Linked DNA regions of Struthio camelus. The protein of the gene in region 2 interacts with the protein of the main gene of each other region in a pairwise test. Links are inferred from orthologs where the notes say so. Each region holds a gene or a part of one and is shown on either strand. Other genes may lie near its edges.

What was found.
Region 1: the proteins of SPDEF (region 2) and NKX3-1 interact in a two-hybrid assay, tested with the Homo sapiens proteins (2 studies listed by BioGRID). The link is inferred for Struthio camelus from reciprocal best matches to the Homo sapiens genes SPDEF and NKX3-1.

What each region holds. Positions count from the first base shown.
Region 1 is NC_090968.1:5,034,751-5,049,568, forward strand, and holds NKX3-1 (homeobox protein Nkx-3.1), read left to right. Parts: upstream 1-7,785; 5' UTR 7,786-7,812; coding exon 7,813-8,194; intron 8,195-10,266; coding exon 10,267-10,649; 3' UTR 10,650-12,125; downstream 12,126-14,818. Other genes in the region: NKX2-6 (homeobox protein Nkx-2.6), read left to right, coding at 1,620-1,761, 3,233-3,831.
Region 2 is NC_090965.1:5,526,827-5,541,084, forward strand, and holds the start of SPDEF (SAM pointed domain-containing Ets transcription factor), read left to right. Parts: upstream 1-7,703; 5' UTR 7,704-7,773; intron 7,774-12,275; 5' UTR 12,276-12,301; coding exon 12,302-12,752; intron 12,753-13,702; coding exon 13,703-13,900; intron 13,901-13,988; coding exon 13,989-14,036; intron 14,037-14,258. UniProt on the Homo sapiens protein: May function as an androgen-independent transactivator of the prostate-specific antigen (PSA) promoter. Binds to 5'-GGAT-3' DNA sequences. May play a role in the regulation of the prostate gland and/or prostate cancer development.

The DNA.
Region 1 (14,818 bases), on a different chromosome or scaffold from region 2:
CCATCAATCTCTGCGGCGCAGCGTCATTGGGGGGGGGGGGGGGGATAAAGCTGCTTATCCCGAGTCCTTCCGGCTCATCTCGGTTGCAGCCAAGCATTTCACCTTGGCGCCGGCTGCCTCCTGCCACCAGTGAGCTGAGGTGTAACGTTACTGCCCGTTTGCCCTCGCCTTTTGGTGTTTTGAGGCCCAAACAAGCCATGCAGAGGTGGCAATGAGTCCAGCTGGGGAAGAAGCGGCCAGGGCTGGCCAGTGCCTCCCAGCAGGGCCGGAGGCAGCGCCTGTCCCGAGGGCGCCAGCCCCACACCGGGCTCCGGAGGGGGCACAGGCCTCAGGGACGGGGAGGTGGCAACGGCGCCTGGCAGAAGCCTCCCCATCGCCTGCTCTCCTCTGGCACGCCGTTTCGCCCTGTTTTGCTTAAAAACGGCCTGCGTGGTCGTGCCGCACCGTGCTGCGGCAGCCTCAGGAACACCGCGGCCTTCCCGGTGCCTGGGGGCTCCCGGCCGGGCTCTGCCGGGCCCCGCGGGAGCACGGCGCTGCCAGCCCGGAGACGGCATCTCTGGGCCCAGCGTGAGCTCTTCACGCGGATGGTGGTCGCAGGGCTGCTAATAATGTGACTGGTCATGGTTTGCACGCCGTGATGCCAGCGCATTGGCACAGATATCCCGCAGGCATCAACACCTGCAATACCAACAACACAGGACACAGAGGGTGGGAATAAACCCATGCGTTAAGCAGAAATAAGGATGGACCGAGAACACTTTTCTCCCCCAGCCAGCGTATTTATTTTCCCTCCCGTTTCAGCCCCTCATTTCCTTGCCTGCCTTGGGGTAGTTTATTTATTCAGCCTCCCCTAACAGTCCAGTTCGGCTCTGTTGGTGGTGTGGGAGATACCGACCCAACCCAGACAAAAACTCGCTGCGCTCTGTCATGGCTATCAGCAAACACCCCCCCGCCGAGGCCAGCCAGGAATTTTAATGGCCGGAGCCGCTCGCTGCGCCCCGATAAGGCCGGCGGGGCCCCGTGGCAGGCGGCCGCCATCGAGGGCCCCCCCGGCTCCTTGACTCCCTCGCTCCCCCGGCTCCCCCAGCTCCCCCAGTTCCCAGGGTCTCCCGGCTCCCCGGCTCCCCCCGCTCCCCAGCTCCCCCGATTCCCCGGCTCCCCCTGGCTCTCCGGGTGCCCCCGGCTCCCCCGGCCCGCGGCGGCGGCAGCCCCGGAGCGGCGCTGGTGGGGGCCCCCGTCGCAGCTAGGTGGTCGGCGCCTTATCAGCCCTTATCTCCCCTCGCCGCTCGCTAATGTGACCTTAATGGAGGCTAAAATCGACACGATGTGTTTTATTGCGGCTTAGCCCGAATCCACCGCCCCCCCGGCCCCGGCCCCGGCGCTTCCCCTTGTTTTGGCAATACGGAGGCGGCGGGCCGAGGGGGCTGGCTGCCTCCCGGCCCGGCGGAGCCCGCAGCCCCGGGGCGGCGCACGGCCGCTCCCCCCCGCCCCGGGACCCCCCCCCCCCGGGCTGCCGCCCCCCGGGCGCGGCGGCGGGGCCGGGGGTGGCGCCTGCCGGGCGGCAGGAGGCCGGGCAGAGGCGGGGAGCGGCCCCGGTGCGCGCAGCCCCGGCGCGGACCATGCTGCCCACCCCTTTCTCCGTCAAGGACATCCTCAGCCTGGAGCGGCCGGACCCCGTCGGGGGGCTCCGCGCCGCCCCGGGCCCCGCTGCCGCCGCCGGGGATGCGCGGAGCGGCGGCGGCGACGAAGAGCCGCAGCCGCGTAAGTGAGCCGGGAGGGGCAGGGAGCGGCCCGCAGCCCCCCGGCCCCGGGGCCAAACGCCGCCGGGCTCCCGGGGGCTCCCGGCGCCCGCGGAGCCGCGGCGGGGCCGGGCAGGGGCAGCGCGGCCGCCGCCCGCCCCTGCGCGCCGGGAGCAGAAGCGAGCGCAGTTTCCGCGCGGGGCGGCGGGCGGGCGGCGGAGCCTGTCGCCTCTCGACGGAGGTTATTTTCCCGCAGTTCGCGGTGGGAAATGTCGTTTTCCCTCCTCCGGCCCGTTTCCCAGGGCGGTATTTCGTTGCGGGCGTGTTACCCGCCGCCCTCCGAGCGGCCCGCCGCATCCTGCCCTGCTGCGCCCAGCGCGCCGCAGCCGGGACGTCCCGTCCCTTCGTTTGCAGCACCGCAAGCTCCCGATTGCCACCTCGCCCTAACGAGCGCCGAACTAAACCGTAACATAAGAATAGGCTATTTTCGGTTAGCAACGAGACCTGCTGGCGGGCTGGCGCCTCCCCTCTCGGACGAGCGTTTGCCCCTCGCCCCCCGCGCAGACCGTCGGCCAAAGCCGAAAAACCGCCCGCGCTTTGGGTGCCGCAAAAGCCCTAATTCGATGCTGCGCAAATTTGTCGCCGCCGCAGCCCCGCCGGGGGGTCTCAGCGCCCTACGGCGACGGTCGCTGCCCGGCGCCCCTCACCGTGTCTTCGGCCGCCGGCACCGGGACGCGCCGCGGGAGCCGCCCGCTGGCCGGGGCCGGGCGCGGATCCTGCGCTCGCCCCGCGGAGCACACAGACCGGGGAAGGGCCGGGAAGCAGAGCCTGAGCCCAGGCACGGGGGGCCAGGGCGGCCGAGGGGGAGCGCGGCCGGCCGAAAGGGAGAGCAGCCCGCGTGAAACCCCAACCGAGACGAAACAAAAACGAAAAATAACCCGACTTTGCCTCTTCTCGCCGATCTAACAATTTCCCTCATTCATTCGCAGCCCCTTCGTTGCTCTAGCAAAGAGCTGCCAGATTCCCCTTCCCTCGGGCGCTAGAGGAAAATCCTGCCCGAGGACCCCTTGCAACCACTTCCACCTGCTCCAGGGCAGAGGGACCGGGATGGGGATTTGTGCTTGGGCGGGGGGGTGCTCAAACCTGCGGCCACAGCGTATCCTGCTCCTCCTGCGCCCCTCTGGGCTGGAGCTGCCACGGCTGTGGCACCCACAGCAGCACCGACACCCTTAGGAATGACCACAATGAAGCTTTGGCTAAAATTCACGCGACAGCTAGGCTTCTAATTCCATCCAAAAAGGGGGGGGGGATTTTCTTGACTTTCCATTGAACTTCATATGAATGCTCATATTAAATTCGGCAAATGGATATGCTCCTTCATCTTATTCCCGAGGGGCCCCGTTCCCCATTTGATTCCTTCTCCAAAAACTCACCTTCCCTGGGAACAGGACCGGGGTCGGGTCTCATTTTGCTTTGGGTTTTTCTCACTGCAGGAAATTGTGTGATCTCCCGCTCCTTCGAGGCACACGACACCAAAGCCGACCCCTGCAACCCTCCCAAGCAGCGGCAGCGCAGAAAACCCAGGGTTTTGTTTTCCCAAGCTCAGGTGTTTGAACTGGAAAGGCTGTTTAAGCAGCAGAAATACCTCTCCGCTCCGGAAAGGGAACACCTCGCCAGCCTGCTCCAACTCACCTCCACGCAGGTGAAAATCTGGTTCCAGAACAGGCGCTACAAGTGCAAGAGGCAAAGGCAGGATAAGTCCCTGGAGCTGGCTGCCCAGCCGCCGCCGCCGCCGCGGAGGGTGGCCGTGCCGGTGCTGGTCCGGGACGGCAAACCCTGCCTGGGGGGCTCCCCGCCTTACTCGGCCCCGTACAGCGTGGCCGCCGGCCCTTACGCCTACAGCACCTACTACAGCACCTATAGCTGCAGCCCCTACGGCGCTAACTACGGCTACGCCGGGGGGCTGCCGGCACCCACCGACACGGCTCCCGCCAGCCGCGTCGCCAACACGAGCTTTGGGGTGGCCAGCGCAGCCCCAAACCAGCCCCCGCACTTGCAAGCCGTGGTGCAAGCGGGGATCAGGGCTTGGTAAGCGGCCGCGGGAGCCAGGATGGCGCCGCGGGAGCCGCCGCGGCACGGCTTTCCCCGGGAGGGGAGCAGTCCGGGGCCTCCGGGGGTTTCTGCCACCCGGGGCGGTCGGACGTGCCCTGCGTGTCCCCGCCGGGCCACGGCGGGTCGGGAGAGCGGGCCGCTCGCCTTCCTCACTGCGGCTTTGGGGACCGAACGACCGCAGGTGCTTATTTATTTGAGGACAACGGGCCCGGAGCCTGGCCCTTCCCGCTCCCACCGGGGTTTGCTCCTTGGGGACGCCAGCGGGCAGCGCTGGGAAAGCTGCTCTTCTTCTAAGGCGACCGGAAAACAGGGTCTGTGCGCATCACTGTGCCTTTGCTTTTTTAATGAACACTGTATTTAATGCTTAGAGTTTCTCTTTAATCTTCTGAGATATATTTCTGATTTATATTTCTTAATATCTTCCCAGCACCGATTTTCATTTTTGTTGATATTATTATTACTATTTACAATTAAAAAAAAAAAATTGGTGAAAATGTGCGTTTTCCCTCTCTCATCGCTCTTCAAAACCTAAGGTTTTGACTTTTCCCAGCCACAATTTGCATCTGAGTGCCAGAATCTGATCCAAAGCCAACACGGAAATCCATCTGAACACTAACAAATGACCCAGAAAGGATATTGCCCAGCGGTCCAAGCACTGCAGCTCCCAAAGTTTAACCTCTGTTGGTGAGTTCCCCCCTCTCTAAACCCTGGCAAGTCTTTTAAGGTCCCGGTTGCTATTTCCTTATTGGTAAAACAGCTCAATATCTGCTTAACAGCTGATCTGGGTGCCCCAGATCCGCATCTGGCTCTATAGGCATCAAGCCTTTTGATGGGTAAAAGGAATACATATACATTCTGTACACACACACATACGCACACATATGCACACACCCTTGTACGTGTAATGCTGAAGAGCCGCATGGCCTTGCACGGGGCGAGGGCTGGGGCTTCACAACCCCGACTTCTGCGCTGGCGTCGGGGCCGGGGAACGGGAGACGCGCTCCAGAGAGCCACCCTTGCCGTTTCGATTGTTTTGCAGAGAATTTTTTCAGGCGACTCTTCCCGTCGCAGCGTGGGCTTTGCCTTACCTTTCTTTTTTTTTTTTTATTAGTTCATATGCTTTTTGAAAGGAAAAACCCACTGCTCGAATGATTACTTTTCCTGCCCATCACAACGCCCAGGCAGGAACTAGGATCCCAGCAGCGTCACTGTTACTAAACCCCGACGCTTCCAGCCTCGCCGTGAGAGCAGCAGGGCAGGCACGGTCCTACAGGCCGCTTCTCCTGCCACGAGTTTGTGAGGCCTCTCTCAGAGCACCTGCAGCTGCCGGCGTTAGCGGGCGCTGCAGGAGGCATCAAAGGGGAGCACAGCCGATACCCTGCACAAGCGGGATGAATCCGTGAGTTACACTTGCTCAACTACCCTGTTAAGGCTATTTTGAGAGCTTGGCCACGAGGGGCTGCATTTCCCAAGGACTTTGGCCTGCACAGGGCGAATCGGAGCTGCTGCAGCCCATCGCGCCTTGCAGAAGCAGGACACGCTGAGGAGCCGCTGCCTCCTTCCTCGTCCCCCTCTCTTCCTGCCGCCTTCTTACCCTCCAGGAGAGGCTGGCAGGAGGCCACTGAGGTTTTACCGCACACGGCCCCATCACTCCAGCTTTCGCTCGCTTCCCCGACGGGCCGTACCTGACATCCAAACCAAAGGAGAGAAACCTGCTCGCGCCCCCGCCGCGGACGCCAAGGGAGAGCCAGCGCAGCCAGCAGCATTTCCAGCACCGGGGCTGAAGCGCGAGTTTAACAGCGCCGAGCACGCCCGGGTTTTTTTGCGTTGAGGTTCGACAGCAAAACGAGGCAAGAGCAAGAGGCTCCAGGCTTGTGCTGGAAAATAAGAAATTATTCTGCCCACATTAGAAATTACCCACTCTGCCAGCCACTACAAAACCGGGAAGATCTGTCCCAAACACGCCTCCCCCCCCCAAACCGGCCAACCTTTGCGTGGCCAGCCGCAGGGGGCTTGCACGAGGCGAGAAACGGCCGCGGAGGGGTGTTGCAGCAAGGGGCTGCAAGCGCAGCATCCCTGGCCACGGCCGGCCGCCAGAGCCCGTCCCGGACGCCTGCTACTGCTCACACCGAGGGCTGCAACGGGGCGAAAACGGGCCTGGCCGAAAAAGTGCCGTGCAGCCAGGCGCGAGGGGTCGAGCAGGCGGATAGGAGCGGCGCTAAGAGCTACGGCAAAGCTGTCGCTGCAAAGCCGCGGTGTAGCAGAGCAGCCCCGCGATACCCCGATGCCCCTGGAGAGGGGCAAACAGCCCAGCTGCAGGCACAGAAACCCTCCAGCTACGTCTTCTGCTCACACGCTTGTGCGGCTGCCTAAAAGCCCAAGTGCTCCGGCGCGCAGCGGGGGAGCGTGCACCGAGCTCCTAACGTCTGCGGCACCTGGGAAACAACCAAACGCCCCTACTGCACCTATTGCAACCTTCGTCCTCTCAGAGGTTGAAACAGCAACGGTGACGGCACGAAAGGACGGAGCTGAGCAAGGGGACAGAAGTAGCCGGCTCCGAAATGAGGCACAGAGCTCGCGCAGCGCTGCGCCCGCAAGGCACGGGGGCATCGGCCGCACGGTCCTGCCCGTGAGCCCTGAAGCATGGCTGACTTCGCTGCAGCTCCTGGTGCAGGTTGTGTCTTCTGGCCCTCTTTGCAAGGCAGCCGGTGGGCTTCGGAGGGTCTCGCTCCTTGCTTTGCCGGCGCTCGCCGGCTGGCTGTCAGCTCCGCTGCGACACAGGTAAGGATGCCTGCCAACGTCGCCTACGGGGCCCAGGGGGTGCTGCCGCGAGCGAACGCGCTTCCCGGGGGACACGGTCCCAGGGCCAAATCCTGCTCTGCCCGGGGGCGTCCCCCCCCGGCTCGCTTGGCCTCGCTTTGCCGTGATTTTTTTTTTTTTAAAAAATCACGTGCTGGACACGTTTGCGGATGTGGCTAGGGATTTTACGTGCAGAAGGGGAATTTGTCGTGAAAACAGAAACTCTAGGAGTCTGACGCATCGACGGCACGTAGAGCGCGGGTGCTGAGGAAGGGGCAGGCGCGACACAGAGGGGGCGACCGGGGCGGCGCGGTCCGGCCGTCCCCGTCCCGCTGGGCGCCCTGGAGCCCGGGGCCTCGCCGGGGCCGCGGCTTCTTACGCAAACGCTGTCCCAGGCTACAGGTGGCTGAGGTCTCGCGCTAAAATTATGCTTAATTTTTCATGCTAACGCCGCCGGGGGCCCCTTCCTGTGCAAGCGAGCGAGACCTCTGCCTCCGATCTGCTCTCCCGCTCCATCGTGCCTTAATCCGCATCCTGAAGCCCCTTCACAAAGATAGATGAGGGGGTCTTTAACATCTTTTTCTCCTTTTTTAAACAAACTGAAAGTTCAAAGTGAAAGTTTTGGAAGGAAACCCTCAAAACCTAGATAAGAAGAAGCTTTTTCCTCTTTTTTTTTTTTTTTTTAACCCTCTTAAAACTCAGCATTCCCACGGAGCTCTAGGGCCGGCCCGGAGGACACGCAGCACCTCCCCAGCTGGGAGCAGGCAGCGCGCGGCCGGCCCGGGCTGGAGGACGGCATCGTCCCGGGACGGGAACGCCGCCCCGGCGCCCCAAAACCCCGTCCGCAGCGATGCTCCGGCTGCCGGGAAGGAGGCAGCGGCTCAGGGTTATTCCAACCGCCGGCGCCGGGAGCGCGAAAGCTCCGGGGGGATCGGGAGGCGGCGGCGGTGGCTGGGATGCGCCGCGCTGCGGGGCCGGCCGCAGCATCCCGGGCAGCGGGAGAGCTCCCGGGAGCCGAGCCGGCGGCGCAGGGCGTAGGCTCCCGCCGGGATCTCCAATCAGGCCCGGGAGGCTTGGCTGCCGGCTGTATAAACGCGGCGCCGGGCGGGCGGGCGGCCAGAGCGCTCCGGGCAGGGCGAGGAGGAGGAGGAGGAAGAGGAGGATGAGCGCCGGGGTGCTGCCTCCAGGGAGGCCGGGAGCCCCCGGCAGTGCCGAGGCGGTGGGAGGCCAGCGGCACCCCGGGGACCCCAACCCGGCCCGGCGGCAGCCGGCAGCGGGGCCGAGCCCCACGCGGGGCCGGCAGACCATGCCCGTCCTCTCCAGGCCTCTGACATCCTTCCTCATCCAAGACATCCTGCGGGACGGAGCCGAGCGGCGGGAGCTGGACGAGAGCCAGGGCCGCGGCGGTGCCGGCGGCCGAGGGCTGGGGGAGCCGGGGGCGGCCGAGGGCCGCGAGCGCCGCTCGGCTCCCGGGGGTGCCGCCGGGGACCCCGGCCTGAGCCCTCGACCCGAGGCAGCGTCGCCGCCCCGCCAGCCCCACGCAGGTAAGGGCAGCAGCCTCGGCCGGGCCGCGAGCCAGCGTCGGCGGCGCGCAGCTCGCCGGAGGGGCGTAGCGTCGGGGCAGGATCCCAGCTGCGCCCAGCACCGAGCCCCGGAGCCAGACTACCGGGGCGTTCGAGGATATCCGTGCTTTAGCTGCGGGAAAGCAACCTGGGCATCAAAGACCATCCCCGCTTCCACCGTGGGAAACTCAGAGGAAGAGCAGCCGGGCGCGTAGCTTTAGCCAGGCTCTTCCAGTAGCGCCCGGTACCGATGCTGCCTAAAACTCTGCTGGAAAAAGCCCGCTCGAAGGATTTCTGTGCGATCTTGGCGGAACTTAGTTCCCTTTTAATTCAGACCCCCCCCGCCCCCGTCAAAGACGTAGCTTGTGCCTCAGCTTTTACGCCGCCTTCGGCGCGGCGATGCAGCCGCAGCGGGCGTGCGATGCCTCCGGTGCAGCCACGCTTTGAAGTTCTCCGTGTTGCATTTATGCCCTTTGCCGTGGGGCTGCTTTCCTGGGGGCTCAGCACCGCTCCCAGCACCCTGCACCTCGCCGTGTCCCTGCCCGTCACTGACACGAAGCCGCTCTGGCGTTTTTATTAATCTTTCTAGCATTGACCCGCTAAATTCACTGGTCAGAATAACATTTCGCTGCAGAACTCACATACCGAAAAAAATCACATGCAGAAGCAATTTGTTGAATGGTGCCTCTGGCGCACCAAGAGCCCAAGGGCAGAGGGAGCCCCGGGCAGGGGATCGGCGTTTCCCGTCCTGCAGCGCCCCGGGCGAGCGGGCCGGGTGCTGGGCTTGGACGGCCAAAAGCAACGCTGAGCTCTCCAGCGACCGCCTCGCGCTCGCTAGCGGAGACCTTGCCAGGGGAATTTTGGCTTTGCGTTTCGATGCTATTAAAAGAAGCTGCTGCACAGAGCAAATTCGGAAACATTCACCAGGCTGGTTATTAAGAAAAATCATTAAGCCCCCAAACCAGCTCTTGCAGAATGGAGCTGGTGCCGAGCAGCACCGCTCTGGGGATTTCAGCGGGACTGGGATGATTTACACAAGCTGGGAATTAAGCCCATTGTTTCTATCTTAGGCATTATGTTCACATCTTAAGAAAATATACTAAGAAATAACCAAAGAAGAACTTGGCCTATTTCCATAGCAAGCTGAGTAATACACCAACAGGAACTAACTCCATAAATAAATTGACTTAAAAAGTTTTGATAGTTGCAGGTGACACTTCCCAGGGGCAGGAAGAACACGTCCACTTGTATTTTTGATCCTCCAAGGCATCTTTCAGGCTATGGTTTTTTGGTAAAAAGAGCCCACAGCTGAGAAATGGAGGTGAGCCACTAGCTCTGCGGCGCTCTGCGCGAGCTGTGTGCGCTCAGCACCTTCCCGGATCACAGCTCGAGTGACTGAGCGATGCCGCGGGAAACAAGCCCGAGGCAAATCCCGGGCTGCTGCTTTGGCACTCCGGCTGTGGTCCGAGTCCAGCTCTGCGGCTGCGTACGATGCAGTCAAGCCGGTCCTGAAGATTTAGAAAGCCTCGAGACAGCGCCCCAAAACTTCCTGGCATTGCCGCGCGGTCGGGAACAAGAGGGAAGAGGGGAGTCGCTTTCAGTGCTTTCTAATTGCAGGCGGGTTTAAGCTGCACTGATTTTACGTTTCTGAGCTAGAGTTTAAGGAGAGGAACATACTTTTTTGTGGAGGCCGGGATCTTCCCGTAGGCACAGGCGAGGGGACTTTGCAAAGAAGTGCCCGGCATCGCGAGCTCTGCAGCAAAACCCCCAGAGCCGCCAATGCCGTAACAGTACCTGGGAGCGTCAGGCGGGCCTCACCCGCGTGGCAAAATGCCCCTCACTGCGTTTTTCTTTTTTTCCCCCACTAAATATTTACTTATATGAATTAAGAATCTATGATATTAGGGGGAAAAAAAGAAAAAAACCTTAGGCAACTTAATGCACTGCTCCACTAACTAAAAAGTGGCAATATGAATATTTTGTGCTTTTGGAGGGGGGAGGAAGAGTAATTTGGGCAACTTGCAGAGGGTAATTCTCACCTCTTTGCTGGGCAGCGGCGGCGGCGGAGGAGCCCTGCGCGTCGGAGCGCGAGAGCCCGCCGGGCGCCCCGCGCTGCCCTCCGCGGACCCCCCGGCAGCAGAAGCGCTCCCGCGCCGCCTTCTCCCACAGCCAGGTCGTCGAGCTGGAGCGGAAATTCAGCCACCAGAAGTACCTGTCGGCCCCGGAGCGCGCCCACCTGGCCCGGCACCTGCAGCTCACCGAGACCCAGGTGAAGATCTGGTTCCAGAACAGGAGGTACAAAACCAAGAGGAAAGAGCTGGCGGCCGAGCTGCGCGGACTGGCCAAGCCGCCGGCCGGCCCGCTGCCCCTCGCCGGCGCCTGCCGCTACCTCCCCTGCCTCTCCTACCTGAGCGCCTGCAGTCCCTCCTGGTGGTGAGCGCGGCCCCCTTGCCTCTTAAACAGTTTTTTTTTTTTTAATGCTGTGTTGCTTTTTCTCATACTAATTGGGGATGGGGGTGGGGGGTGGGAAAAAGGCGCTTCTGACTTGGTTCACAGCAACGCTCGGCGCCTAGCTGCCATGCGAGCCTTTCTCACCACCAACCGTCCGGGGTTATAAAACGCAAAAAAAAAAAAAAAGCAAAAAAAGGCAAAAAAAGAGCAAGAAAAATGCAAAAAAAAAGCAAAACCCCCCAAAAATTGCAAAAAAAAAAAAAAAAAAAAAAGCCCAAGCCTTCCAAAGCATCTAATTCGGCACACCGAATAGCGCTGCTCCGCGGCGGGGCTGCGGCTAGGGGCTGGTGCCGGCTGCTTGGGGGCAGCAGGCGAGGCACGGCCACGCCGCCCGCGACGCCGGAGCCCTGCAGCTCGTAAAAACCCACAAGCGACTGGAGGAAAAAAAAAAAAAAAAAAGGAAACCAAACGACCGCCGTTGCGTTTCTCCCACGGAGAGCGTCGTTGCTGCCCGGGGGGATGGAGAGCGGCGCCGGCCGGGCAGACCCGGCCCCGGAGCTCCGGGCACCTCGGGGAGCCCGGGCCGGCGGCCGGGAGCGGCGACAAGAGCGCGGTGACGGATGAGCTTTGCATATCCGGCTGCTGACGCCGGTCGGCGGGTTTTTTACATCCGCGCTCTTTCAAGCAGCCCAAGCGCAAAGAGCTCGGCGCGCCGGGCGGCTTTGGCAGCAGCCAGCGCGGCGGCGGCGGGGGTGAGAGCGGCCGGCGGAGCCCGGTGCTCCCCGGCCCTCCGGCCTGCCAGCAGCAGCAGGCAAAGTCTTGCACCGGCGACTTTTTAAGTGAGGCAATTACTCGGGCGGGTGGCAGAGACGGCTTCGGTAGCTCATCGCGCTTTAAAACACGAGATGCTGCTAAGTCTAGGAGAAAAAGCGCAGAACCCGATGGAGGAAGGGCGCCCGCCGGCGGCAGCGAAGGTGCCCGGGGCGTTTCTTCCCGCGGCGCCCGCTCTCCCAGAAGGAGGATGAAAAGCAAAATCCCCAGCGATCAGGGTAGGGGCAGAAACTGCTGGGGTCACCGGGGCCCCTGGCGCTCGCCGGGGAGCAGCCTTTCCGCCCGGCGGCTGCAGAAGCGCCTCGCCGAGCGGGGAGCAAGCGCTCGCCGTCCGGCTGCCGGCAGGTAACCGCCGGTATCCGCAGAAAACGCCTCCTGCCCGCCCGGGCGGCCCCCGGTGCGGCGGCCGTCTGCTCCACGCCGCCGGGGAGAGCCCGCTCTTCCGCGGCCGGGAAAAGGAGACGGACGTACGGTGAACTTCTCGGACGGTTCGCTGGGGAAATGTTTGTGTCGTGGCTGCTGCTGCTGCTTTTTTTTTTGTTTTGTTTCCCCCTATGATTTTTTTTTTTTTTTAATTCCCATTCGGGGTTTAGGACCAATAAAATACCCTTCTTGCTGCTTCAGCACCAAACTGCTCGTACTTCCTTCTGCTGCCAAGGCCAGCGCCCTCGGTCGCTGGTTTTGCCTGTATTTTTTGATACTGTTTCACGCGATGTCCTTCGGAACAAGGAGCGCAGAAGCGAGCCGCCTCCGCGGGGTCTCTGCTCCGGGGCTGGATTTTTCTGCTCTGGATTTTCTGTGTTAATCTTGTCCCCATATATTTTGTTACTCCTTTAGGGGATTTGGATACTTGTGAGGAAGAAGATAAGTAAGTACGCTGGGCACGTCCTGAGCGCGGGGGCCGGCCGGGGTGGCAGAAGCGCTGCTTGCAGCCCCTAGCGGAGTCGGCGCCTCGACAAGAACCGAGCAAAACCCGTCAAATCGGGCTGCGGGGCTGCTCTGGCTCTGCCGCTTGGCGAGGGCGAGGACGGCCGCGGCCGGGGCAGGGACGGGACGGGAGCGACCTTGAGGCCGGCCGGCCGGCCGCTCTCCCCCCGCCGCAACCCCCTCGCCTCCGCTCCTGCCAGCGGCGGCTTTGCAGGGCCGGGAGAGCGAGCCGAAATAACCGCTTTTACCCTCAGCAGGTTTTTTTTTTTTTTTTTTTTTCCTTACTGCCGTATTTAAGCCGAATCCGCCGCCCGACCGAGCCGGGCACCGCGATGGCGAAGCGTGGGCCGTCCTGCTGCGCCGAGGTGGCCCCCCCCAAAACCCGGCCGCCGGGCCGGTCCCTCCGCTCCTCCGCAGCCCTTTTCCCCTCCATCCCCAAGCGTTTTCTCCCCGGCGAGAACAGAGACTTCCGGCTGATTTTCTTTCCCCCCCCCCAGCCCGAAACACAAAGCACGAGGACAAAAAAAAAAAAAAGATGGGGGCCGTAACGCTCTGCTGACCGCATGATGCAGGCGCGGGCGCGAGTGCGTTCATGGCAGCGGCCGGCCCTTGATTAACGCCGAGACGAGCGATCCCACCCTGACGGCGGGGCCGCGGAGTTTTAATCCGCCTTAACGAAGCACACCTCCTGTTTGCCCGCGGCCGGAGGCAGAAAGCAGCGTTTGACGTCCGTCAATCAGCGTCACGCTCCGCCGCCGGCGTATCCATCAAGACTGAATAGCGTCTCACGCTGACATAACATTTACGCTTGCTTGTGCCAAAGCGTTTATTTGAAGCGAGGGAAAAGGGCTGCCTTTGGATAACGTGGCTGTTGACTAACATTTGCATGCGCTAAACCGCGTAGCTGGCAACGGCGCGCGGGACCGGCGCCAAGAAAAATCTCCCGCTTGCCCTGCCCGGCCTTGGCGAGCCGGAGCAGCGCGCGGGCGGCCGCGCGGGGTCCGGCAGCGGCGGCACCCCAGCCGGAGACCGTTCTTACCCTGGGTGCTCTCCTCGGCGCCGCATCTCTCGCCAAGCCGGCCGCAGCACCGCCGGACGGCATCGCCCGCTCCCTTCGCTGGGCCCGGCCGCCGTCCCCGGCTGCTTTGCGCTGGGGGAAGCCGAGCGGTGCGATCGTCCCGGCGGATTTTCCCCACCGCCTTCGGCCGCAGGGGGAAGGGGAAGGGGAAAAAAGCGGGTGGCTTTGGGGAACGTGGGGAAAACCGCAGGTGTGGGGACCGGCTCGCGCGCGGTTCCCGCGCGGCGCTCCGCACGGGCCCAGCCGCCCTCCTCCTCCTCCTCCTCCTCCTCCTCCTCGGCCCCTTCGCGCCAGGCACCGCTGGCGAGCCCCCGCTGTCACGTGTTCGCGTGGGGACAAGGATCCCCCCCCCCAAAAAAACCCCACCGCGCCGGGCACGCGGCGTCCCCGGCGTCCCCGTTTCGCCCCGATTCCGCCGTGCCCCCAAAGCCGGCGGTTCGCAGGATTCGCTGGGGGCAGAGCAGGGCGCCGACGCGCCCAGCGTAGCGCCCGCTGCGGAAGGGCGCCCGGAGGCCTGGCGAACCGCGCCGCGCGGGCCGCCCTGGCGCTAGAGCAGCCCTGGGGCGGCCCTGGCTCTGCCGGGCAGCAGCTCGGCCCTCCAAAACCTCCGGCACGTGCAAAAACCCCGGCGGCGGTGGGTGAAAGGGGGGACTGGCCTTTTCGACCAGCAAGATGTACGCCGGCGCAAAGCGCTTGGCCGCTCTACAACCAGGTGCCCTGTCTGTTATAAAGGGAATTAAATCTCGAGGCTTAAATACAAATGTTTTTATTCCCTTTGTGGACAATCGTGGCAGAATGAGATAACAGGTTAAGGTGGGGCCGGAAAACCTTTCGCTCTGTGCGCTGCATCTTGTCCTCCAAGGTAAACATGCGGCTTAATGAAATTTCAAGAGGGAAAAGGTGAGATATTTGCCTTTATTTAAAGCAGAAATAATATTTGAAGAGAAACAAAAGAATCAGGCAAACTAGGCAATAATCGTACGCGGTGAACAAACAGAGCCCAGATCCTGGATTAAATCAGAAACGACTTGAGAAACGAACGCCCGACGGCCGGGCGGCACGTAGCTCCACGAGCGCGGCGCCGGTGCAAGCGTCCCCTCTCGCAGCCCCCCGCCGCGGGCGCCTGCCGGGCTCCCGCTGCCACGTTTGGCCGCAGCAGGTTGGTTTTTTTTTTTTTTTTTTTTTGGTGCCAGTTTCAGCCCGAGAGGGAAAAATACCGGCGGGGAAGCGGATCAGATACAGGCTGCCCAGCGGCAGGGACCCGGGCGGTCGGCGCCAACCCAAGACTTGGATGCAACCCGAGAGCAGAGCGGAGCGAA
Region 2 (14,258 bases):
TGCAGGCTGGGCCGTGACGTCAACCCGCGCCGGTGAAGCCCAAAAACGCCGGCGAGGTGTCGAACGTGACCCGCCGGCCCTGCCCCGGGTCTGACCCTCCCGGAGCCGGGCAGGGGGGCACCCCGAGCCTCCCGCGGAGGCGAGGCCGAAGGACGGCCGGCGGGCAGACGCTGCTCCCGGCGCCCCGCCGCCGGGCGGGAGGGCTCTGCCCTCGCGGGGCGCTCGAACCCCGCTGGCTTTTGCCTCGGCGGCGGGCCGGGCGCTCGGCTGGACTTTGCCCGGGGCCGCGTGGGGCGATAGCAGCCATCTGCCTCCCGAGGCCGACGGCGGCGCAGCGGGTGCGTGAGCTCCCAGGTGGGAACGGGAGCAGCGAGCGGAGCCGGGGGACAGAGGTGCCGCTTGTTCAGCCCCAGCTCCGGCTCTCCGGGCTGCCTGCGGTGGCCAGCGAAGGCTCGAGCCCTCCGTGGCGGGCGAGAAGCGCGTGCCGTCATCATCCCGCCCGGCCCCCCGCCTCAGCCCGGGCAGCGGCAGGCTTCCTGCGCGCGGTGGGGCGACGAGGACCCAGCTCTCCTCAGGCGGCTCGGGACCGTCCCGCTTTGCTCAGCTCCGGCCCTGGGAGACGGGTGGGTGAGCGGAGGGCGCCGTGCTTTGCCGGGGCCTCCCCGAGCCGGGGGGACCTCTCGTCCCCCGGGTGCCGTGCTTTGCCGGGGCCTCCCCGAGCCGGGGGGACCTCTCGTCCCCCGGGTGCCGCGCTTCGCCCGGGGCCTCCCCGAGCCGGGGGGACCTCTCGTCCCCCGGGTGCCGGAGCTTCGCCCGGGGCCTCCCCGAGCCGGGGGGACCTCTCGTCCCCCGGGCGCCGCGCTTCGCCCGGGGCCTCCCCGAGCCGGGGGGACCTCTCGTCCCCCGGGCGCCGCGCTTCGCCCGGGGCCTCCCCGAGCCGGGGGGACCTCTCGTCCCCCGGGTGCCGGAGCTTTGCCCGGGGCCTCCCCGAGCCGGGGGGACCTCTCGTCCCCCGGGCGCCACGCTTCGCCCGGGGCCTCCCCGAGCCGGGGGGACCTCTCGTCCCCCGGGCGCCGTGCTTCTCCCGGGGCCTCCCCGAGCCGGGGGGACCTCTCGTCCCCCGGGTGCCACGCTTCGCCCGGAGCCTCCCCGAGCCGGGGGGACCTCTCGTCCCCCGGGCGCCGGAGCTTCGCCCGGGGCCTCCCCGAGCCGGGGGGACCTCTCGTCCCCCGGGCGCCGGAGCTTCGCCCGGGGCCTCCCCGAGCCGGGGGGACCTCTCGTCCCCCGGGTGCCGGAGCTTCGCCCGGGGCCTCCCCGAGCCGGGGGGACCTCTCGTCCCCCGGGTGCCGGAGCTTTGCCCGGGGCCTCCCCGAGCCGGGGGGACCTCTCGTCCCCCGGACGCCGGAGCTTCGCCCGGGGCCTCCCCGAGCCGGGGGGACCTCTCGTCCCCCGGGCGCCGGAGCTTCGCCCGGGGCCTCCCCGAGCCGGGGGGACCTCTCGTCCCCCGGGCGCCGCGCTTCGCCCGGGGCCTCCCCGAGCCGGGGGGACCTCTCGTCCCCCGGGTGCCGGAGCTTCGCCCGGGGCCTCCCCGAGCCGGGGGGACCTCTCGTCCCCCGGGCGCCGGAGCTTCGCCCGGGGCCTCCCCGAGCCGGGGGGACCTCTCGTCCCCCAGGCGCCGGAGCTTCGCCCGGAGCCGAGCCGGCCGGAGGCAGCGGCCGCCGCAGCTCCCCAGCCCTGGCCTTGCCCGAAGGCAGCGCTCGGAGCAGGGCCGGCAGGAAGCAGGCAGCGCTGCCCGAGAAGCAGGTTTGTCAGAGTTTTAAAGCGATCTAAATAAATACGATAAAACAATTATTTAAAGAGCAAACAAATGGAAACTGCTAAAGGAGCTCTTCCCCCCCCAACCCCGCCGCGGGTGAAGGGTGGTGGTGCCGATGCCGCCGCCGGGAGCGGGTCGCCGTAGAGCCGACGCGCGTCGGCTGCTCCGGCCGGCAGCTCGCCGGGATGAGCTGCCCCCGTGGCGCGGGCGGGAGGGGGCTCTGTTTGCTCAGCACCCGCCGAGCTGCCAAGCAGCCGCTGAATAACAGAAAGTTTCGTTTCATCCTACCAGGGAAAGGTTTTATGGGGCATCCGCAAACGCCCATCCCGCCGGGGCCGGGGTCGCCAGGAAGGCGAGCGGCCGGTGGCGGGACGGGGCTGCTGCGCGGGCGCCGCTGCGCGCCCGCTGGCTTCGGCGGGAGCCAGAAACCTCGGCTCGCTGCTGCCCGAGCCGCCCTAGGCCGTCGCCCCGGCGCCAGGTCCGGTGCGAGCGCCCGAGCGGCAGGTCGACGGAGGCGTTTGGGGGCCGCCTGCAGTTGGGAAGCCCGAGGAGAGCTCGGCTGGTGTCTCTGGGCCCCGGAGCGGCACGGGGTTGAGCTTCCGCTGAGCAGGGAGGTTTCGCCCTCCGCGCCGGTTCGGAGCATCTCCCTCTCCAAGTGTTTGGGCTTAAAACCCGGGTGATTTTGTGCAGAAGACGAGGCCGGGAACAAATTTGTATTTTTTAGTGGCAGCCACTGTGGGAAAGCCAGGAGCCGGAGGGTTTGCCGGCGCTCGGCTCCGCGCCGGTGCTGGCACGGGGCCCTGCCGGTCTCACCTGGCCGCCCGCGTGCGCCTGGGAAGGGCGCGGGGCGAAGGCGGGCGCCCGGCTGCCCGCCGCGGGGGTCCCCGCTCCCTCCTGCCTTTTGCCTCTCGGCCCCGGGCCGCGGCGGAGCCGCCGGCTCTCGGCATCCCACCCCCGACCCCGCGCCAGGGTCCGGCGGGGCCGGGCTGCCGCGAGCCGTCTCTTCCTGGCACCGCTGGGCCACCCGCAGCCGTTTCCAGGCTTAATCCCGAGAGACAAAAGCCGGAGTTTAAAGCGACCGGAGGAAGAAAAGAGCAGGGTATTAACGAAGGAACAGCAAACAGGCAGGTGCATCCCTGCGCCCTCCCCGCGCCCGCCTGCGTCACCCGGCCTCTGAGCTGGCAGCCCCCCGCCGGCGCTCCGAGCGGCCCCCCCTGCCCGCGCGTCCCCCCGCCGCCCGCTAAACCGCCTTTATGGCAGCATCTGGGAGACGGGGAGGCCGGGCGAGGGAGGCAATAAACGGGAGCGGCTCCTCGCGCCGGCGCCCTTTGGGAAACGGGCGTTTTTGGCTGAGGGGAGGGAGGGCTTTAAGGGGCTTCGGTTGGTCCCCGCGCTGGCGCCGCCGGGCCGGTTTGAGGTGTGCGGTCCTGCTGATGCTCCTCGGGGAATAAAAAGCGTGCAGGGTGGTGAACGCGCAGCCGCAAGTCGCTTCTCTCGCCCTCGTTGGCCCTTTGGTTACGCTCAGGGTGGAAAAACCTCGGTTTTCCCTCCCAGCTGCGCTCCGAAGGCAGCCGAGCTCGCTCCCGCTCGGCGGCACGGGGACCCCAGTGCGGCTCCGCTGCCGGCCGGGGCCGCCGCCGTGGATCACCGGCGCGCGGGACGGGGCGGCGCCGCGAGGCAGCGGGGACGGGCCCCGTCTCGGCCATGCCGCTCCGCGCCGGCGCCTCTTGCCGGAGCGTCTCCAAAGCTTTGTGTGCAAAGGCCGGCCTGCCCGGCGCGTCTCCCTGGAAAGCGGGACGGGCGGTTCGAAGGGTGAGCCGCAAGGAGGCGAGGGGATTTGAGGATGGGCAGGGAACGGGGGATGCAAACCGGCTGGGAGCTGGGATGGGAAACGGGGCCGATATTCCCATCTTCTGCTAAGCCTGCTGCCCTTTGGGGGCAAGAGGGAGCCAGGAAGGGCTTGCAGGCGGCTGGTGAGACCTGCAGCCACCGTCCCTTTACCCGCTGCTCCCTCCGTCCTTGCTGCGCTCCCGTGTCTGCCGTCGCCGACTCCTTTCTAGGATCGCCGGGAGCGCTCCGGGCTCTGACCTTCCATATATGCCTTCGCTTGACATAACACAAGAGCGGCAGTGATAAACCCTCTTGGTGCAGGCTGGGAGGAAACGTGCCGGTGTTAGCAAACATCCAGTGAAGAGCAATTAAGATTACGGGCGGCAGGAGGGGAGCGAGCGGCAGCCGGTTCCCGGCAGGACCCGTCCCGGCACTTCGGCCCCGGGATCTCCGGGCTCTCCCTCGCGGCGCACCACGCTCGCCCGGGTTTCCCTGCCCCCTGGCAATTTTCCCCTGGTTATTTCTGGTGGGTTTGAAGCCATTCCCCTTTGGTTGCGGTTAAAGCACGAGAAAACCCACGCTGCAGCCTGCAAACGGGGGTTCGTCTCCTCTCTGGACATCACCCCTGCCGAGCCCGGCAACGAGGGCAGCAGCGGCGCGGGCGATGCAGGGCGCAGGGCACCCGAGCGGGCCGGTTTGCTTTGCCCGGGGACCGCTGTCACCACCAAACCCCGGGCGGGCTGGCAGGTGAAGCAGGAGAAACCCCGCCGCGGCCGAAGACCAGGAAACGCCGTTCGGCTCTGGTGACAAACCGCTGGGGCTCGACCGTGTCTGTGGTTTCTGCGATGACATCAAATCCCTTCGATAATTTTATTATGTCCATATATTATATGGCTGCTTATCTGTTATTCTTGTGATAGAGCCAGAGATTAGCCGCAGGTGGGTGGGCAGGGAGATTCTTCCAGCCTGAATCACAAGCAGTTTCTCCAACTTTCCCCTCCGGCCGGCTCGCCGAGCGCTGAAGGTGAAGCAGCGGCAAAGGCACCGGAATTGCAGGCGAGCAGTTGGCAGAAAGGACAAGGAAAAGCACATAAAACTGCGCACACACACGGCAGAGAAGCCAGACTTTATTTCCCCTCTTCTATTGTTCCTCAGGTGTTGCAACCTATTCTTTTCCTGTTTTGCATATGTAACCAGAGCTGCTTTGAATAGCAGTTGTGACCCCGCCGGGATTGCGAAAGGTGGGAGGCTCGAACGCACCACGACCGCCAGCCCGTTGCACCGAGCGTCTGGAGCCGCCAAACCTGCTTGTGGGAAGGAAGTGGGAGCAGCTCCGGCAGGCCTGCGGGTGGGCAGCGCCGGGCTCGGCCCACGAAAGCGCCCGGCCGTGTGTCACCTCGCTTTGGAGGGATTTGGGTTTCTCCATCCGCCAAGTGGCAAACGCTCTCGGCTTTGGCTGAAAGTGTCAGGAATCGCCTTATCCAGGTGCTGGCTGCTGTAATGCTCTTCCCAGGCTGTTGCCTGAGGCACACGTGTGCAGGGACACCGGGGCGCCCTTGTCACCTTGGCTGCATCCCGCCAGCTCCAGGGCCGGAGCCCGGCCCGCGGGGAGCCCCGCGTGGCACCTCTGCCTGGGTCATGCACTAGCCCATCTGCAAATGGGATCGACGTGGTTTCAGGCCAGGCCTGACATTAGCCCCAGGTCCCCTTTGCCAATTTTGGGGGTTTTCTGTGTTTTCCTTGCTCTACGTCTCCGCCGCCAAGCTGGCCAGCTCTCCCAGACCTGCAAAGCAAACGCCTTGGAAAGCCAGGCAAACGTTTTTCCTTTTAATTTGTTGCTTATCAAAATCTCCGGGGCTACTGATAACAGGAGCAGGGAAAACATTTTCAGACCCAGACGTGATCTTTTGAGCTGATCGAGGGATCCCAGACAGGCTGGGGGGGCCGGTGCTCAGGATGCTCCTGAGCAGGGACGCGGGGCCAGGCGCCTCCAGCGGCTCCCTTGGACCTGGGCATCCTGCTCCTGCCTCTTTGTCTGCTGCACCCAGACCACGCTCTTCTCCCCGTTGCCGTGTTGCTGTTTGCTCTGGTAACGAGTGGTAATTAAACCTAATAAGAGAGGGAGACCTGCGGGTGATGTCACGGCGAGGAGGCACGAATTCAGCTTGCACAGCCCGTGCAAACCGCTCTGCAAACTTTCCTCCAAGGCGGCGGGGTCAGCGACGTGGAGCTGGCGCTCGACCCTCGCCGGAGCGTGTCCCTGCGAGAGACCTGGAGGAGGCACGGTTTTGAGGGAAGAGCTAATGGGATTTGTCGCTTAGGACACCAGGAGCAACGCGGTTGCGGCGTTGCAATGTCTAACGCAGGCGGATGAGCGGGTTAAGCGTGGCGGGATGCCGTGGAGGAGCGCCTGCAGCTGGGCTTAGCACCGACCAAAGCAGCGGCCGTGAGATTGAGCCGTTTTTCCTTAACGCCTTGGAAGAACCCGCTGTGAGCGGAGGCTTCCCAAGGGGCCCCAGCTCCGCCGCCGGAGCTCAGCAGCTAGAGCAACCCGGAGCCGGCGGGGGCAGTGGGCTCCGGAGCGAGACGCGCCTTGCCCGCCCAGCCCACGTCTCCTTCCCGGCAGCCGCCACGTGTTACGGGTCCGGCTGTATTTACCAAAACAGACGGGAGCGAAGCTGCCCTCGAATGGCGAGAGCCGTAGTCTGGGGAGAACATTTTCCCCGCCGATAAGATAACATTGAGGCGTTTCGAAAGGGAGGCAGAAACTCCTGGCGCGGGCAAGCGGGCGGCAAAGCCCCGCGGTGCCCTCTGCTAACGCGCCGCCGCGGCCCGGGGAGGCGGTCGTGCCCGGGTCGCCTTTTTAGGGGGTTTTATTTTTTTTCTCCCCCCTCCCCTTCCTCCCAGCAAGCAGCGCAGGGCCGGCGGCGAGGACGTGGAGCCGGGCTGAGCGGCGCCGGGGGGAGAGCGGGCGGCGCAGGCACCGCTCGGCCCGGGTGCGAGCCGTCCCTGGCAGCCGGGGCGGCCGAGAGGCCCGGGGCCGCCTCGCGCCGCGGGTATTTACGGCCAGGGTTGGGCTGGGTTTTGCCTGACGCCTTCTCAAAACCGTGGGGTTTTGGGGGCCGTGGGAGAGTTGGGTTTTTCCCGAGCTGTCCGTGGGAGAACGGACTGAGCTGCGAGGCGTTCCTGCCGTGTTCAAAAGACAATAAATACCAACTCGGTGTCTGTCTCGGTCAAAACAGCTTTTTCCAGCTCGTGCCGGTGAAGACGCACCAGGCCTTGAACGCCCCGCGCCGGCTCCGGGGCGCAGCAGCCCTTCCCGCAAAGCGCTCCGGCCCCGCCGGGGAGGAGGGTGCCGCGTCTCTGCACCGCGGCGCTGCCGGAGAGCGGCGCGAGGGTCTCCCGGCGCGCGCCGGGCCCCGTGCAGCATCCTCAGGAGGCTGGAGCATCCCCGGCTTGGCGCTCGCCGCCTCCGCCGCGGGTCCTGCACCGTTGCCCTCGCCTGCCTCTCGCTGATTTGCACCCGGCCCGGCCGGCGCTGGAGCGAGTTATTTTGTGCGCGCGAGCCGCCGGCGGCGGGGGAGCAGGTCCTCTGCGTCGCAGAGCCCGGCGGAGCGGCCGGCGCGGGCCGAGGTTGGGAAGGGGTTAACGGTGCCCGGGTCGGTCCCGCTGAGCCCGGCGCGCTCGACGCACCCCTCAAGGGTTAAGCCCCGCTTGGGATATTCAAACACCTCCAGCTGAGGTAAGCACACAGCTTGTTTGTTCAGGTAAATAAGGAAGGAATTAGATATAATGGGCACAGGAGGCATTCGCTGAGCGTTTTGCATTCCCGGCTCGGCGGCCGGCTTCCCCCTGGCGTACCGCGACACCCATGCCCGGCCGCTGAGCCCGGCCCCGCGCGGCCCTCGCAGCCCCCCGAGAGCCGATGCGGCGCGGCCCGGCCGCCCTGCCGCCGTCGGGCCGGGGCTGAGCGCCGCTGGCCGCCCCCCGTCCCCGCGCCGGGCGCCCCGGGGCAGCCCCGCCGGGGCCATGCCCGCCCCGACCGCCGCGCCGGGCGCCCCGCGCACGGCTCTCGCCGCCGGCCGCCGGCAGCCGGGTGCTTTCTGAGCCGGGCGCGCACCGTCGAGGTAAGCCCCGGGCCCCCGTTGGCCCCTCTGCCCGCTCCGGACGCGGGGTCGCCGTGCCCAGCGGCGGCTCGTCCCTGCCCGGCTCGCGCCGGGGCGAGGGTACCTGCCGGCGGGAGGTTTCTCGCGCTTCTTGCGACGGCGTCGGCCCGGATGAAGCGGCGTTCGCCAACCCCGACCCCGACCCTTGCAAACCGCCCCCCCCTCCCGCCGCTGCTAGAGGTGGGGAGGCGGAGCGGGGGGCCGCGGCGCCGGGGTCCTGCCCGCGGCGCTGCCCCTCCGGGAGCCCCGCCGGCCCCGCCGCCTCCCGCGCCAGCCGAAGGCCGACGGGCGCCGCGGCGGGGAGGCAGCGGCCGTGGGTCGGCGCTGCCTTCGGGGAGCCGGCAGCGCGGGGGGCGTCTCTGCCAAGGGCTTTTAACCCTTTTAGCGGAGCTGCAGCCTCGTAGAGCCGCTGTGCTTCCCCCCCCCCCGCCCCCCCCCCCCCCGGTGCCAAAGGCAAATTGGCTCCAGGTTGGATTTTTATGGTTCTGCTCGGTTAGTGAAACACAAATGCCGCTCGGCTGCCAAATCCCCCACAATACGGCCTTTCTCATGGGCAGGAGGCTCCGCGGGGCCGGGAGCTGGCAGGGGCAGGGAGCCGGCGCTATAAAGAGGGGCGGCCGGGCTGGCATGGGGAACGGCAAGCTCCGCTGCGCGCCGGCGAGGCGCCGAGGCCGGCGGCTCCGCTCCTCGCCTCGCCGCCGGACGCAGAGGGCAGCCCGACCCGGGGCGCCCGCCCGGCCCCCATGCAGGTAGCGGCGGGAGGAGGCGGAGGGCGGCGGGACCCTCCAGGGTGCCGGTGGCACGGCGGAGGAGGGCTGGGAGCCGGCACGGAGCAGCCCCCGAGGCGGGTCCAGACCCCCGGTGCAAGGCTGCGTCCGTCCGTCCGTCCATCCATCTATCCTGGGGGGGTTGTGCTGCCGGGGGCTCTGCGCTCCCAACCCTGTCGCCGTGCAGGGCCCTATAGCGAGACCCCCGGGTCCTCCACATCTCCAGCCCCCCCGAGCAGCAGCCCAGAGCCCCGAGCTCCCACCCCGACCCCAAAAAGCCTGGGAGCAGGCACCCGTTGCACTGCGGGGAAAGAGGTGCCAAGTGGGACCAGACCCAAGGGAGAAGGAGCAAACCCCAAACCCTGCACCCAAAAGGGCTGTTGGGCAGGGAGGGGATCGCTAGGCACAGTGGGGTCCCCCGCGAGACCCCCGTCCTCTGCCGTCCCCAGGGTATCGGCTTGCAAGAGCCCTCCTGGGGGTCTGCGGTGGGTTTGGGGGCTGATTGTGGCCCCCCGGGCCTCACAGGGCCACGGTAGGAGCTGCAGAGAGCCCGTGTGCCCCGTGGGGCTGCAAACGTGGGAGATGCAGCCAGTTCATGTTTTCCGATGAAAAACACACTCCGGCCAGGGGCAGAGGAGCCCCTGGGCCCCTCGCGCCCCCCGTCCTGCGGCCGCAGCGCCCGCGGCCTCCTGCCGCCCCGGCTCGCGTTGGGCTCCCGCGCCGGGGGTCTGGGAAAGCGCCCCGGGATTTGGGAGCTCTGCTGGGCAGCGCCTCCTCCCACCGCCCCGGGCCAACCTCCGCGGGTCTGGGCCGTCCCCCCCGGGCTTCCCGAGCTGTGCTCCAGCACAACCTGTTTAACCGCAGATTTAATTTTAATTAACGGGCCCATTGTTTGAGGGTGCTTGGTTGGATTTTTTTTTTTTTTCGGTTGCTTTCTCTGGAGTCGCTGGTGCAGGCTGTGCTCAGGCAGCGGGGCAGGTAGTGCCGGGGCAACCGACCTCGCCGCCCTCCTCATCCTCCCGGGGCTGGAAACGGGGACGTCTCCCGAGACCCGTCCTGCTGCTCTGCCGCCCGGCTCCGCCGTCCCCCTTGTTGCACCAGGCGACCCCAGAGACGCGGTGCTGGGTGGATGTGGGTGCTGCCGTGCGGCTCTCGTTGCGGTCGGCCACGAAATCTGCCGCTTCCCGCGCTCCGGTCTGGGGCAGAAGCTTCTTGCTCCAAGGGAACCTGTTGACTTGTTTTTGCCTTTGCAGTGGCTTGGAGAACCAGGGCAAGCAAACCGCGCGGGGAGCCGGCGTCGGAGCTGGCCGGGGCCGGGCGACCGCTGCTCTGCCAACCCCGGTGGCACCGCACGCGGAGGGGACGCGTCGGCTGCCTCGCCTCCGTCCCGCGGTACCGGGCCGCTACGGCACCGGCCGCCGGAGCCTGCGGGGAGAGCTGGCGGCGGCGGCACGTCCCTCGTCCCCGTCCCGCACCGCGTTTGCTGATGTGGGCTTTCCCGCGGGCCCAAAAGCGGCGAAGCCGGGCAGCCCGGAGAAACATCCCGCTTGTTTTTTTTGCACGGAGCCTTTTGCCCGTGCGGCCGGGCCCCTCCGGGCGCCGCTCCCGCCAGCCGGGCCTCCGGGCGGCCGCCGCGGGAAGCGAAAGCCTCCGAAGCCCTGGGGCCCGGCGCCTCGTCCAAGTCGGTGGCAGTTGTTTGTTTAAAGCGTGGCAAGAGCTAATTCCCTAATCGCTTCCTCTCCCGCCCGCAGGGGCAGGCCGAGCCGGCGGGCGCTGCTTCGCCGGGGCAGAGCTGCCGGCGCCGAGCTCCCGCGGCTGCGGCGGCGGCGGCGCGGGGGGCTCGGCTCGCCCCGAGCATCCTCGCGCGGGGACGCGGGAGCGATGCCGCCGCCGCTCCGGCGGGTCGTCTTCTTGCCCAAAGCGGCTTCCGAGAGCAAACACGTCCCCACCCAGGCGGCGGAGCCGGGGCCGCGCGGCGGCCGCCTGCGTGCCAGCGCCGGGGAAAGGCAAACAGAGGCCCTCGCCCTGCGAGCGCCGCGCGGCTCGGCCGGAGGGCGCCCGGGCTGTGCCGCCCCGCGGCGCCCGGAAAGGCGGCCGGAGCACCGGGCAGCGCCGGGGCGGCAGCGGGCGCGAGCGGGGAGCGCCGAGCCGCTCTGCCCCGGGGCGTCCCGGCGGAGGGGCAGGCAGCGCCCGCGGCGCCCGGCGCGTCCCGCAGGCTTCGGCTCGGCTCGGCCCGGCGCGTGGCAGCCCGTCCCCCTCCGGAGCAGGCGGCCGGAGCGGCGCAAGCTGTCGCCGCTTCCCTTTTGTGCCGGGAGCAGCGTGAGGCTGGATTTAGGGCTGATCTGCTAAAGCTCTCCGTTTAATCCAGAGCGAATAAAGCGGAGGTTTGGAAGCGGGCGCCATCTCTCAGGGAAACGGGCCGGTGGGGAGGTGCTGGGTACCTCCGTGGAGCCCTGACCCCCTTCCTCCCTCCTCCTCCTCCTCCTCCTGCTCGCTCCAGCCTTTGCGGTGCCACCGAAACGGCCCCGTGCGCTCGGTGGCTGGCGCCTGGGATGGCCCCCGGTCTGCGGGGCTGGGCCGGGGCGTCTCCGTGCGCGGCAGCGGCTCCCTGGCGCAGGGCCGTGCCGAGCCAGGCGGCTCCGCGCGGCTCCCGGCATCCGCTCCGTTCGCCCTGACGAACCCGATGACGCGTTTTTCCCCTGCGTTATTGAAACCTTCCTTTCCCTTGCTGGGATTTGGAGCAAAGAGGGAACGAGCCCGGCGGCCGCTCCGTCGCCAAGGCTGGAGCGGTGGCCGGGATGCTCCCTCTGCTTTTGGGAAGCGCCAAATCACGCGGGTGGGTTTTTTTCCTCCTTGTGAAAAAAAACCACGACAGAAGAGCTGGAGGCAGGCGAGGAGGGCTGGGACGGCAGCGGCGCCCCGGCCGCCGCCGTGCCCTTCGGCAGCCGCTCCGCTCGCAGGCGCCTTGTCCTTCCCGAGGCCCCCGGCTGCCCGGCCGGGAGCTTCCTCCGTCGATGGAGACGGTTCCCAGCGTTGCCACGGCAATTCGGCAGGCTCATCCTCGTCTCGGGGCTCCCCGCGTCCGCCAGGCGGATGCCCGCCGGCTAATCCGGGGCGCTCGGGTCTTGCAAGAGAGTAAAGAGACAGTTGCCACCGCGGGGGTCTGCAGCGGGCGGCCGGGAGGCGGGCGCTGCGGGGGGCCCGGCGCCGAGCTCGGTCCCCTGGCCCGGGAGAGCCGGGTTTGGGGCACCCTTGGAGCTGGGTTGAGGGCGTTGGGTCATGTTTCCACGCGCGGAAACCTGCCCGCGTGGCTCAGGTGCACCATTTAACCGGCCCTGCTCAGGCGCTTCGGAGACCCTCCGGCGTCTCCCGCCGCCTCCTTGCAAGCGCCTCCAGGCCTGGTCGGCACGGGAGCGCTGCAGAGCCGCTTTGCAATTCGTGGTCCGGCCCGAAAAGCCGGCGGCGGCAGAGCCCCGCGCGCCGCCCGCTGACCCAGAAGCAGGGCGGCCGCCCCGCGCCGCGCCGGGCTCCTGAGCCTGCTTTCATCCGGGGTCCCGCAGGGCGCCGGGGGGCTCTTGGGAGGGTTTTTCTCCCCCCCTCTAACAGGCTTAGCTGCCTGCCTTTGTGCCTGCCGCCGGGCGGCATCGGTGGCGGGGCCGGGCGCGCCGGCGATCCCGCTCTCTCCTCTCCCGGCAGGCTCGGAGCCAGCGCTGAGCAGCGGCATGGGCAGCGCCGGGCCCGGGCTGGCCGCCCCGCCGGCCGGCCGCGGCGGCACCCTGCAGGACGCGGCCCTGCTGCCGCCGGCACGGCAGCCCGGCGCCCGCGGCTGGGCGAGCACCGGCAGCCCCAGCCCGCCGGCCACCCCCGAGCAGAGCCTGCCCGCTTTCTGCCTCCACTACTTCGACATGCTCTACTCGGAGGAGGCAGCCTGGGCGTGCAAGGGCCCGGGGGAGCCGTCGCAAGGCAGCGCCCAGGCGGGCCGAGGCGAGGTGCCGAAGGAGCCGGAGCAGTGCCCCATCATCGACAGCCAGGGCCTGGGGCTGGGCGCCGAGCTGGACTTCCAGGGCAGCCTGCACCTGGAGGAGCACTCGCTGGAGCAGGTGCAGAGCATGGTGGTGGGCGAGGTGCTGAAGGACATCGAGACGGCCTGCAAGCTCCTCAACATCGCCGCAGGTGGGTGGCCCCGGCACCCGGGGGGCTCCCGGCAGGCATCTCTCCCCGGCAGGCCCCCGGAGCAGCCCTCCGCCCACGGGGGGTGGCAAACCTTTCAGCAGACCCCTCTGCGGAGCTCGGGGAACCGGATGGTGCAGAGGCGGGGAGGGCAGGCGCCGGGACACGCGGACCCGATGCCCCGTCTGTCCCCGCCGGCGGTCCCTTCCCTTCCCCAGGCCGCGGTACCGGGATGCGTTTCAGCGTCTCGTGGAGGGTGAACGGTAGCGAGGAGCAGGCGGCGCCCGCTGGGACTTTTTTCTCCTTCCCTCTGTCTCGCTTTCACCCCGCGCGGGCATCGCTGCAGCCCCGGGGTCCCCGGACGCGCTCGGGTTGACGCGGGCTCTGTCGTCCGCCCCGCTCCCGCAAGGCTTGGACACGACCTGGGGGCTTGCGGGGAGCGAGCGGGACTTCGAAAGGCTGGATAGGGCCCGATCAGCCCCGTCAGAGCCGGCAGCGGGTTTTGGGGCCGCGCTCGCAGCCCCTTGGAGGGAGCCGGACGGGAGCAGGCGGAGCGGCTGCCGCGGCCCCCGGGGCCGTTCCCCGGAGCCGCCAGGTGCTCGGATGGGTGCTGCCAGCGCCGAGGCCGGGAACAAAAGGGACTTTGACAGGTGGAGGAAAAATGCCACCGCGGAGGAGAGCAAGGTCGTGCCGCCACCGGCCGGGCGCCGCGGGGCGTTTGCTCCCCGCCGGCAGCGCTTGGCTGCTTGCTGGGCTGAGCCGGCCAGCGAGGGGGGACCCGGGGTCCCCGTCCCGGCTCTCTGGGGTATCCTTGTGGCTGATACCGCTGCAGGGCAGTTTGGCCGGGACAGTGGGAGCTGTGGGGTGAGCTGAGTTTGCCTGGACTTTGCTTGGGGGGGGGGTGGGGGGGGTCAGTGCTCACCGGCCGGCGGCGGGCGCCCGTCTCCCTGCAGACCCGGCTGACTGGAGCCCCGGCAACGTGCAGAAGTGGATCCTGTGGACGGAGCACCAGTACCGGCTGCCGCAGATCGGGAAGTCCTTCCAGGAGCTGTCGGGCAAGGACCTGTGCGCCATGTCCGAGGAGCAGTTCTGCCAGCGCTCGCCGGTGTGCGGCGACGTCCTGCACGCTCACCTCGACATCTGGAAATCTGGTGGGTGCCGGGGCCCGGCGGGGACGCGGGCGATGCTGCACGCCCGGCCGGCACATGCCCTCCCTGACCAGGAGCTTTTCCCTTCCAGCTGCCTGGATGAAGGAGAAAGCCGCCCCGGGCGACGGGCGATACTGCGGTGAGTTTTGCATGGGCTCAGCCTTGCCAGCCAGGTGGGGAGCCCTGCTGGCTGGTCCCTCCACGACTGCTCTGGGGTGCTGGGGAGGTCGCTCCTCACTTAATTGCAATTCTCCATTGCGTTGGCGGAGTTGCTGCTGCGCTGGCATCCGTGTGTTTGCACTCCCTTCTGCCCAAAAAGCAAGCCCTGGGCTGGCTGCCCACGTGGTGCAGCCAAAGGGGG